Linked DNA regions of Macaca mulatta. The protein of the gene in region 2 interacts with the protein of the main gene of each other region in a biochemical or structural test. Links are inferred from orthologs where the notes say so. Each region holds a gene or a part of one and is shown on either strand. Other genes may lie near its edges.

Region 1 (5,658 bases), on a different chromosome or scaffold from region 2:
TGTAATCTCAGCTACTCAGGAGGCTGAGGCAGGAGAATCGCTTGAACCTGGGAGGTGGAGGTTGCAGTGAGCGGAGATTGCACCACTGCACTCCAACCTGGGCGACAGACGAGACTCCATCTGAAAAAGAAAGAAGAAAGAAAGAGAGAGAGAGAGAGAGAGAGAGAGAAAGCGAGAAAGAAAGAAAGAAAAGAAAAGAAAAGAAAGAAAGAAAGAAAGAAAGAAAGACAGAAAGAAAGAAAGAAAGACAGAAAGAAAGAAAGAAAGAAAGAAAGAAAGAAAGAAAGAAAGACAGACAGACAGACAGACAGACAGACAGACAGAAAGAAAGAAAGAAAGAAATGAACTCTCCAATAGGAATCCCTGACTCATCCCCAAAGCATGAACCCTAAGGCTACTTCTCCAATACAGGAGTTCAGAGGCTGGGCACCTGTCCTGATGGCCCGCATCACCAAACAATGCTCCTCCCTGTCGGTATATGCCTAGGGATAACAAGGTGACTAGCATGCAAACAAGAAATGACCAGGGACCACACCATCTCTTCTTCCATAACCAAAATAAGATGGTAAAAAACTAGTTTTAGGCCCGGCACAGTGGCTCACGCCTGTAATCCCAGCACTTTGGGAGGCCAAGGCAGGTGGATCACTTGAGATGAGGAGTTTGAGACCAGCCTGCAAATATGGCAAAACCCCATCTCTACTAAAAATACAAAAATTAGCTGGGCGTGGTAGCTTGCGCCTGTAGTCCCAGCTACTTGGGAGGCTGAGGCAGGAGAATCGTTTGACTCTGGGAGGCAGAGGTTGCAGTGAGCTGAGATTGCACCACTGCACTCCAGCCTGGGCTACAGAGCGCAGAGCAAGACTCGTCTCAAAAACAAAAACAAAAAAAGCTAGTTTTAAACGCCTTAAATATTCAAAGTATTTTCTTCTACTTTCGCTAGAAAGTAGTAAAAAGGGGACTGCATCCAGTTGCTGTAAATGACACCATTCAAAAGATACTAAGACAATTAAAGTTCAATAGTAAAAAAGGAAAATACCCTCTTTTCCTTAACCCTTTCAGATCAAAAAGTAATTTTTCAAAAATACATAGGCTAAATATCAAGAGCAAATGTTTAAATATAAGCAATATTTTTATTTTTAATAAGGAATAAGTTAGATTATTTAACTTATATTTTCAATCTTCAAAAGATACTGAGAAAACTTTACTTCCATCCTCAATTATTGGTCTGGGGAGGCGGGAATCACAAAGCTCAACGATACTAGTATAATATTGTGTAAGGTCAAGGACCTATTTTATAAGCAGTTAAAAATTTAACGCTAAGCTTTACTGGACAGGTCTCTTTAAAACGTGAAAAAGTATTCACTACTAAGTCATATCACCTCCACCATAAAAACTACTGTACTTTTTAAATAAAAAATAAAAACTAGCCAATGTCTGCTGCCCATTCATTTTACAGATATTAACTGTGTATCCTTTTCATAATCAGGTTTCAGAGTTAAGTGATTATTCTTGGAGGTGTACCTTACCCAGGATAAAAATTTTCCCTAGCTGATTTCCCCTTCCCAACCCCCGCCAAGACTAAGGAGCAACCACTTCCCAAAGTCCCACTTCCTTTTCCATTCCCCAGACCTACAGGGTTTCCAACGCCCCAGTCTTGCGCAATATCCGTAGGAGCAGCAGCCGCAACCACCGCCTCCTAAGCCGGGAAACAACCCTAGAGGGAACATTGTCCAGCAGAAAAATAAAAGGGGCGGGGGTTGGGGGGGGTGGGTAACATAGGAAGTCGACTTCTGGTCCCACGCCTTCGGATCTGACCCCCTCATAGTGAGCTAGAGCAATAGTGTATCTAGAGCAGTTTCATGAACAAGACTTTTAACCTTCACCTCCTCTCAAGCCTGCTTGCACAAGCAGAGGGCGGAAAGTGGGGGGTGGCGGAGGCGGGGGGGGGCGCTGGGAAGGTTATCTCCCAGTTCAGGGCTTCGGCCCGTAGCGACGCCTCCGCCCCACCAGGACTATTGTTCCCAAGTTCCCCACCCCCACCCCGGATAGGAAGTGATAGTCACATCCCCTTCGCCTTCGGCAATATCCCCTGGGGAGTCCGAAGTCGGTTTCCTTCAGGATAATCCCCCCCACCCACACTTATCCCCTGAACCGGACCCCAAGATCACCTTAAACCTGGGTCTCAAGAGAGGAGAAGCGGGACGCGGGTAAATGGAAATTAGGTAAACCCATGAGATTCCTTATGGACAATCCTTTCCCAAGCGTTGGAGATCATGATTGCGACCCCAGAAACGGCAGAAGTCCTACCTTGCCCGCTTTGAGACCAGCTAAAGCAAAGGGATCCCAGGAGTTAGTGCCAACCTCAATTCCCCCGTTCCTCTGTCAGCCACGATCTGCACTCCTCCCGGTCACAGCCAGATACCCTGCCTCGACCCTCCTGGGAGGAGCGGACTGGGCGGGGAGATGTGGAAACGCGAGCACCCCCCGGCCTGCACCTCACTAGTCTCCGGCTCCCGGCCGGGTAAACAATAGGTGGTCGCGAGCCGCGGTGCAGGCTGCAGGCTCGGCCGCTCGGCCGCTCCCTTCGCGCCCCGGGCGCCCGCGCGGGGGTCGCGAACATGGGAGAAGAAAGGAGGCCACGGCGGGAGGCGCTCTCGATTCCCGCCGGCTTCCAAGACCACCCGGCCCACCGGGCTGGTGCGCGCCCCCTCCGCCCCTTTCCTCACAGAGGTACACAAAGCACTGGCGGCCCGGCCGGGAGAGGCGGCGATGGGCTCCGGCGCCGGCGAGACAAGGCGACAGCGAGGGGAGAGACTCACCATGAAGTCCCGAGCGAAGTTGTCCTCCCCATTGTGGTCAGGACTCTTCATGGCCTGGACCCTCTGGATGAATTTCCTCAGGATCTCCACTTGCTCCATCCTCCCGCGTCCCCCCGGCTGCGGTCGCTGGCCCCCCCGCCGCCCGCCCGCCCGGCGCAGAGCCCGCTCCGTCTTCCCCAGCTCGTTTCCCCAGCACGTCCCTCCCTCCCGACCCCCGCCAAGCCCCGCGGCTCCCTCCTCCTCCCCACTGCCCTAGGCGGCGGCTGCGGCGGCACCGGCTGGGCTCCCGACACCACAACTTCCAGGAGCAGCCGCCGCTCTCCCACAGTACCAGGCGAGCCGCTGCGGCTAGCGCCAACCCCAACCCCCAGCTTGCTCCATCCTCCTTCCCCGCCCTCCTCCTCCGTCGGAGACGCCGCCGCCGCCGCCGCCGCCGCCGCCGCCGCCGCCGCCGCCTCAGGAACACAGCTAGCTCTCCGCTCGCCCTGCCCCCCCTTCCCGGTTCTTCCTCCCCCCCACCCCCCGCCAGCAGCCGCAGCCGCAGCCGCCTCTCCCCACGGGCGCGTCCCCGCCGCCACCCAGATGCGCGGCCTCGCGCTGCGGCTCCGCCCCAAGCGCCGCGCCTGCTGATCCATCCCCGCCCGCCTCCCGGCCACGCCCCCAAGCCCGCCCTGCCGGCCCCAGGCCCGCTTGGAGTGGCTGGAAGGCACTTCAGCGGGCGGCCTGGAGACCTGACTCCACTTCCGGGGCGTGGCCCCGTTCAGGGATCTTAGAGGTCGGAGTAGCGTCGGGAGGAGAGTTGGTTCCTCCGAAGGAGGGAATGCGACTCAGAGCGGGGCAAGCAGTAGTGTATCAGAGTAGGATTCTGCTGGAATTTGCGGTCTCACCGCCTACTAGGGAAGAGAAGCAGTTTTCAGGAGTCCCGCACCGCCGCCAGCCGTGGACTGGGCCTACAAGTCACGGCCTGTGGAGTCCAGGAGTGGGGGCGGGCGAGGGCTGGCTGGAGGCAGGCTGGGAACTGTAGTAGTGTCACCGCCACGTTCGCGGCAGGTAGATGCTCATTTTGGTAACGGATTGGTGAGAGTGGATAGCAATTAGGCTTCGGCACCTTGGAGTGTGGCTCAGCTAAGGGAAGTGAAACGCTTCCTGGGTGAGAGGACTTTTATTATTTGCGCATCCTCTTAAACCTGGCGAGTGAGCGCCTGAGGTTCGGAGTGCCTTCTTCCCGGATGACGCGGGTGTGGGATCTTCGTGTTTGCCGAACTGAAGGAAATTTGCCTTCCTGCCTTGAGGTTCGCAGCAGTTCATAACTGAATAAGAGACTTCCCTCAGTAGAATGGACTTTATTTATAAATCTATTAAATCTTTTTTTTTTTTTCCCCAGAGCTAAGGTCTTGCTCTATCGCCCATAGTGCAGTGCTATGATCACGGCTCGCTGCAGCCTTGAACTCCTGGGCTCAAGGGATCCTCCTACCTCAGTACATCACCAAGCCCAGCTAATACATTTTTAAAATTTATTATTTATTTGTTTAGTTTTGGTAGAGAAGGGGTCTCACTAGGTTGCCCAGGCTGATCTCAAATTTCTGTGCACTGGGGATCCTCACCCCCTCAACTTCCGAAAGCGTTGGGATTCTAGGCGTGAGCCACCGTGCCTGGCCTATAAATCTTTATTCATCTTTGTAAACTTCTATCAGAGAATTTATTCTGGTCTAACTCATCATTTTACAAATAAAGCGACTTCCTGACATCCCCCAGAGTATTCTTAGCAGAGCCGTAACTAGAACACAAGTTATTTTACTTTCACAACAGTGGCCTCTCACAATGTGACAGAACTGAAGGATTTGATCCGTGAACTGAATTTCATCATTTATACCCACAAACGTTTTTGTACAGAGCAGGGAATTTGGTTATAATAGGAAATATCAGTGGTAGAATACTTTATTAGATGAAAGTTAGGAGCACTATGGAATTTAGTGAAAAACTCATAGAAGAAAACAGGTGTAGGCCGGGCGTGGTGGCTCATGCCTGTAATTCCATCACTTTGGGAGGCCGAGATGGGAAGATCACCAGGAGGCGGAGGTTGCAGTGTGCCGTGATCACACCACTGCACACCAACCTGGGCGACGAGACTGAGGCCCTGTCTCATAAAAAAAGAAAAAGAAAGAAAATAGGTGTAACAGGATACAGTTTATTTACTTCTTCAAAAAAAGGAAAATATTTCTCTTAAAATAATCCAACTAATATATCCACCCCAGAAATAGGCACGTCAGACCGGGTGCAGTGGCTCACGCCTGTAATCCTAGCACTTTGGGAGGCCGAGGTGGGCGGATCACTTGAGGTCAGGAGCTCCAGACCAACCTGGCGGATATGGTGAAACTCTGTCTCTACTAAAAATACAAAGCCGGGTGTGGTGATGCACGCCTGCAGTCCTAGGTACTCCAGAGGCTGAGGCAGGAGAATCGCTTGAACCTGGGAGGTGGAGGTTGCAGTGAGCCGAGATCGTGCCACCACACTGCAGCCTGGGTGAAAGAGCGAGACTCCGTCTCGGGGAGGGAGGAGGGGAAAGCCAGGCGCGATGGCTCATGCCTGTAATCCCAACACTGGGAGGCCGAGGTGGGAGGATCACCTGAGGTCAAGAGTTCGAGACCAGCCTGGCCAACATGCTGAAACCCCGTTTTTACTAAAAATACAAAAAAATTAGCCGGGCGTGGTGACGCATGCCTGTAATCCCAGCTAGTCAGGAGGCTGAGGCAGGAGAATCGCTTGAACCCGGGAGGGGGAGGTTGCATTGAACGAGATCGCACCATTGCACTCCAGCCTGGGCAACAAGATCGAAACT
Region 2 (5,648 bases):
TAGCCAGAGAGAGATGTAACTTGGAGGCCCTGGACTACAGCTCCACCATGAGCAAACAAGAAAAGCTGGCCCTGCGGCAAGCAGGGCCTCAAAAGCCTTTCCTCCTGGGCCACAGGAAACAGAAGAATAGCAGGAAGTGGGAAGCAGAGGCACACAGGTTATTCCCTCCCTGAACCTCTCAGCTCAAGTGTGGGAAGAACAGCCCTCCTTTCCCAATCTTGGTCTCAAAAGCTGCTCCACACTCTCCCCACTTGCTCACCTGTCATGAGGGGTGACCAGTTTGGGTGGGTTCCTGAGGTATTGTTTGAAGCGCAACTCAAAGGCCTGGCCAATGGTGCTGATGACATCCTGGGCAAGCCCTTCGGGACACTCCAGAATGTGGCAGGCTGAGGGCACAGCAGAGGCTGTCAGTGAGTTGAGCCCACTGGGAGGAGGCACAGACAGGGGCCCTCATCTTCCTCGGCAGGAACCCCCACTTAGATCTACTTAGAGTGGGTACAAATGACCCCAGGTCCTACTCACCTCAAACAGCCAGACCCACCCAGTGCTCCCCACCATGCCTCACCTCTCTGATTCACAGGGTCTTTGGCAACGTAGGCGACATACTCGGCTGTGTCCTGGGGAGGAAAGTCAGAAAATTTTACAGTTCCACTTTACTCCTGACCCCTAAAACCCAGTCCTTTTCAGATATCCCCACAGTCCTAGCACCCCCACTTCTCTAATCAATGTCTTCCCAATCACTAGCCCCTTGCTCTTCTCCCACCACCTTTGCTCTGTTCCCCAACTCACCGGATCCCCGCCGGATGCAAATGAGATAGATTGCATGTGGTGGTTGGCGATGATCTGAGAATTAGGGGAGGGGATGGAGAAGGAAGGGAATGCCATGTGTCAGGCAGCCTCAGGGCCCAGAACCCTGGTGCCCCAGTCTCATTCTCTGGGTTCCTTATCCCATATCCTCATTTCCTCCTTCCCTACTGGTCTTCTGCTCTCAAGCCCTCTTCCTAGTTTTTGGCCTCCTAACTAGATCTCCCCTTAGCACCCCCATCGGTGTTTCTGGTCCACCTGCCCACCTCCACCAACCTGTTTGCAGTCTGCGGCCATGAGGTTGAGGCTGCTGGTGGAGACGGTGAGAGTGATTGGCATTCCAGCAAATTTCAGGTTACTCCTCCCCAGGATAGAGCTGAGCGGGCGGCTACAGGGCTAAGGTAGGGCCCAGGGTCTTAGAAGGTGAGGGTTCCCAGCACAGACAAACCATACTCTTGTCTCCTGGCCCTCTCCCCACATGCCCCACACTTGCCTCCTCACTGTCCCTCCACATTTCCCAGCAGCATCCCTATCCCCAAGGACCCCAAGTACCTTTCTCCTCCTTGTCGCCCCCTTAGCACCCGGCACAGCCTCACACACCAGACTGATGGCCTCCCTGGGGAAAGAGGGGTACTCAGACCCAGCGCCTGCCTGCCTGCCTCCCACTCAACTGGGGCTGCCACAGAGCTGGGGGAGGGGAAAGCCAGGCCAGACTCCCAGGGCACTCCAGGCTCTTTGTCGTGGTGGATTGAATTAAGGGCCTTTAATATTTGATGACACTGAGAGGCCGCTTCCTGGCTGATTGGGTTAGGGCCTCAATGGGTATAGCCCCACCCCCTTCCAGCTACCAAATGTCCCATTCCCTTCCCAAAGGCAGCAGCAACCTTCCATCTACCCCATTTGCTACTCCAGCTCCACCTGCCAGCTGCTTCTGCTACCTTCCCCACAACTCCCAAGGCTGGACAGGTAAGGAGGATCCGGGCCAGAGGGGCCTCCTTTCAGTAAGAGGCAGAATCACTATCCCAGCTTTCTCTCAATCCCCTTTACTACCCAAAGATCAGCCCCAACCAGCAGCACCCAAGTGACCCACTCCCCTCCGCCCTTTCCCATGGCCTCACTAATCCCAGGACTCCCACAGTCCACTCCCTCCCCACTAACCTGGTAACCTGAGTCCGGGTGTTGAAGTCCAGGGCACGCATTGACTGAAGGACCTCCACACAGCCCATGTACTAAGGGGAGGGAGGAGAGGACAGCAGGTCAGCCGCTCCCTGACCCCAGTCCCTTCACAAAGGGCCCTAGGACTTTGCCCATATGGTCCCTAAGAGAAGTAAAGAGGAAGAAGTTCTGCCCTCTTCCCGTGTCTACATCCCACAACCAAGGTGAAAGACAACAGGGAACGAGCAGAGAAAGAAAAGGCAGGCTAGAAGGACCTCACGCACTGGGGAGAGAGTTTGGAGGGGACTGACAGGCACTGACTGGGATGGAGCAACAACTCCAGAAAGCGGGAGGAGAATGGAGGAAAGGATCAAGAAGTCACTCCTTCCAGCACTTATTAAGAGCTTCTGCCATGCTGGGCATTGTGCTAAGCATGGCAGGGTGGGGGTAGGGGAGTCAAAAGAAGGAAGGGGGCCCAGGCAGAGCTGGAAGGGAAAGGGCTACAGAATTGGGGAAGGGATGGGAAAGGTTTAGGAAATAGAACACTGAAACAGGGTTGTTGGGGAACAGCAGGAAAAAAGAATTCCAGCCAAGCTGGAGTGAGCAGAAGAACTGGAGGGGTCTGGGAGGCAATGGAAAGGAGGATGTTCACTCACCCGAACCAAGTAGGAAACCCCGGGTCCCATGACTTTGTCGTTGGGATGCAGCCAGCCCCGCGTGGGCTTATTGACAAAGCTCCCGTGGCGGGTCCACTCCTCGCCCCCCAGCTGGCCCCCTTCCACCCGAGTCCTGCGCCCGCCGCCTCCACTCAGCTTGTTCATGTCCTGGAGGAGGGGTAGGGGGCCTGAGTCTGGCATGGCTGCCCCTACGATCCCCTCCCCATCATCGGCTGCCCTTCCTGGCTCCCCCTTAGACCCTGGGCGCCCCCCAGCCGGGTTGGCCAGCCTCAGGTTGCTCATCCGGGGGAAGAAGGAGCACAGAGTAGTGGGACTATCGTCCCCAGGCAGAGGAGGCAGGATGGGCCCCAGGGATGAAGCTGATGGGGAAGGCAGCTCCTCCGGGGGGGTGGACCCTGAAGCCCCCTCCTCCAGCGATGACAGAGACTCATTCCGGAGTGGATTGTACTTGGGCTTGGGGGGCAGGAGATCCATAGCTGAGGTGAGAGAGGGGCTGCTGCCCGGCCTGGCCCCCCTGCCAGTTTGGGCAAGGGGGCCAGGCAGGGGGTATCCCCAGGCCCTTAGCCTGGTCGGACCTCTGTGGCCCACGAGTCACAGAAGTCCTGGGGAGGGAGAGGGACAAGTGGCTTCCGCTCCCCAGCTCAGACCCAGACAGTTTCGGGCCCCATCCCCGCCCAACGTGGAGCCTCTTCTCTGGCTGAGAAGAGAACAGGCTGGACCCAGAGCTGCCTGGCTCCTCCCCAGGGGCGGAGAGCTAAAGGGAGAGACCAATCACGAGGACAGTGCTGACTCACAGGCTCAGAGGGGCTGAGCCCCCACCCCGCCCCAACCTCGGACTGGAGCAGAGGGTAGGGCTATCCAAGCTCCTCTCCCCTGCCCTACACAAACAACTAGTAATCTGGGGAGAAGGAAAGTGGGGGTGGGAGGGAAGCATGGAGGAGTTGGACGGAAAGAAAGGAGATAGGAGGTCTGGGTCACTCGAAACCGGACACAGGCAGGCCAAAGGGGGCAGGAAGCCAGGCTAGAGTAGAGGGGAATGAGGGAGGAAACAGAGGCAGCTGCGGGTGGAAAAGGGAGGAGATCTCAGAGCTCAGCATTTCCCTTCCTGTTCTGGTTGGACACTCGAATTCCCCACCCTCCAGCCCAGGCCACCCCCAACCACTACCCCATACAGTAAGCCTGGGCCATTAGCATCCTCTGCTACGACAGCTGTGGACTGGAGCTAGCGAAGTGGGGATGGGAAGGAAGTGGTCCCAATGGATGCAGAGCAGGGTCAAGAGGAGAAGCAAAGTTGGTGAAAAAAGGGGAATAAAGTCCAACCTGGATGGTACATCAGGAAGCTACCAGGCAAGAGGGGAACAAGAGGACATGCTGGTCACGGCTTGTTCTCTATGTATGCCATCTACCACACCAAGACCCATGGCTCATAGCCAAGCACTGTCCTCTCCCCTTTCCACAGGCCTTGTTAACACAGCACACTGTCAAGGGTGAGAATGAGGCAATCAGGTCCCCACTCCCACTCCAAACCACCCCAATTCATATCCCTCCTCTTACAGGACCCTAAGCCCCACCAAACAGCACAGTGTCCCTCACACCAGGGGAGGAGCCTGGCTGGAGGAGGTGGAAGAAACAGTTCTCCAAGAGAAGCAGAAACGACAGGCCAGGAAGGGACAGAGAGATCAGAAGACACATCTGTGTCAATAAGAACAGGAGAAAAAACAAGTAAGCACAGGAGAAAGTGGTGTCAGGAGAAGATGGGTTGAAGCTGGACACAGGGAACAGTCCCAAACTCATTCCTGCCACCCACGGCTTCCTGCCACTGCTCTTCTGGAGAATGCCATAGGCAAAGCTGGAAAGCGACCAAAAAACAAAAAACAAGTTAAAGATACATATTCCCGCCGGGTAAGGTGGCTCACACCTGTAATCCCAGCACTTTGGGAGGCCGAGGCGGGTGGATCACCTGAAGTCAGAAGATTGAGACCAGCCTGGTCAACATGGTGAAACCCCGTCTCTACTAAAACTACAAAAATTAGCTGGGCGTGGTGGTGAGCACCTGTAATCCCAGCTCGGGAGGCTGAGGCAGGAGAATCGCTTGAACCCAGGAGGTGGAGGTTGCAGTGAGCTGAGATCGTGCCATTGCACTCCAGCCTGGGTGACAAGAGCAAAACTCTGCCTCAAAAAAAAAAAAAAATACGTATTCACCCAAGCTCACCTTGGAATTACCCTTAGATTTACTTCAGAGGATTAAAATATAGATAGATAATTATCCTGATTAACAACATTAACACTTAAAGTGTGTTAGATACTGTGCTTAACTCTTAAATCTCCCCTTAGTGCTCATTCCAGAAGAGCCTTGTCACTCTGTCAGCCAATCCTGAGAAGGAATTTTATCACTTCTTTTCCAGCCAGCTCTCGGGCATAGAGAGAATGAGGAAAGGATTCCACTATAGCCTCACACCCCCAAAACACATAAACACACACTAGGATGTCCTCATCTGTTGAGATGATGTTCTCTGGGAGCCTGCAGTATCCAGGGCCAGGGAAAGACCAACGGGTGTGGGCGTTTGGAAGAAAAGAAAGAAGTATGACTGTTGAAATGTGCATGGGGAGAAAAGAGATTGCCTACTGGAAGTCAAGGTGATTGGGTGTAGGGAAAAAGCTGTATGTGGCTTCTCAGCCCAACTGGGAGGAGGGGAGAGGGGTGGGAAGTGGCAGGAAATGGCGAAAGCCTCAGGAATGTTTCCAGCAGGGAAGGCTGGGCAAACGGGGCCAGGAGGAATGCCCAGACAAGAACTATGGTTAGGGGGAGGGGAAGAGACAGAGAAGCAGCAACTGAACTGTCCCTTAAAAAAAAAAGAAAAAAATCAAACAACAAAAAGGGCACTATTATCTACCCCCACTCCAAACCACCGTTTTTCTGGTAGAAAACTTGCTCCTGTCACACCCACATGCCACACACCAACAAATCCATGGTCCTATCCACTTATGGATAGGCAGGCCTAGAGCTACTTC

What was found.
Region 1: the proteins of SHC1 (region 2) and PTPN12 form a complex in vitro, tested with the Homo sapiens proteins (2 studies listed by BioGRID). The link is inferred for Macaca mulatta from reciprocal best matches to the Homo sapiens genes SHC1 and PTPN12.

Annotation. Positions count from the first base shown.
Region 1 is NC_133408.1:141,997,257-142,002,914, forward strand, and holds the start of PTPN12 (tyrosine-protein phosphatase non-receptor type 12), read right to left. Parts: upstream 3,368-5,658; 5' UTR 2,919-3,367; coding exon 2,820-2,918; intron 2,476-2,819; exon of another isoform or gene 2,308-2,475; intron 1-2,307. UniProt on the Homo sapiens protein: Dephosphorylates a range of proteins, and thereby regulates cellular signaling cascades. Dephosphorylates cellular tyrosine kinases, such as ERBB2 and PTK2B/PYK2, and thereby regulates signaling via ERBB2 and PTK2B/PYK2.
Region 2 is NC_133406.1:112,030,668-112,036,315, reverse strand, and holds the start of SHC1 (SHC-transforming protein 1), read right to left. Parts: upstream 3,269-5,648; 5' UTR 3,111-3,268; coding exon 2,616-3,110; intron 2,034-2,615; coding exon 1,963-2,033; intron 1,421-1,962; coding exon 1,357-1,420; intron 1,201-1,356; coding exon 1,081-1,200; intron 844-1,080; coding exon 790-843; intron 618-789; coding exon 566-617; intron 387-565; coding exon 260-386; intron 1-259. UniProt on the Homo sapiens protein: Signaling adapter that couples activated growth factor receptors to signaling pathways. Participates in a signaling cascade initiated by activated KIT and KITLG/SCF.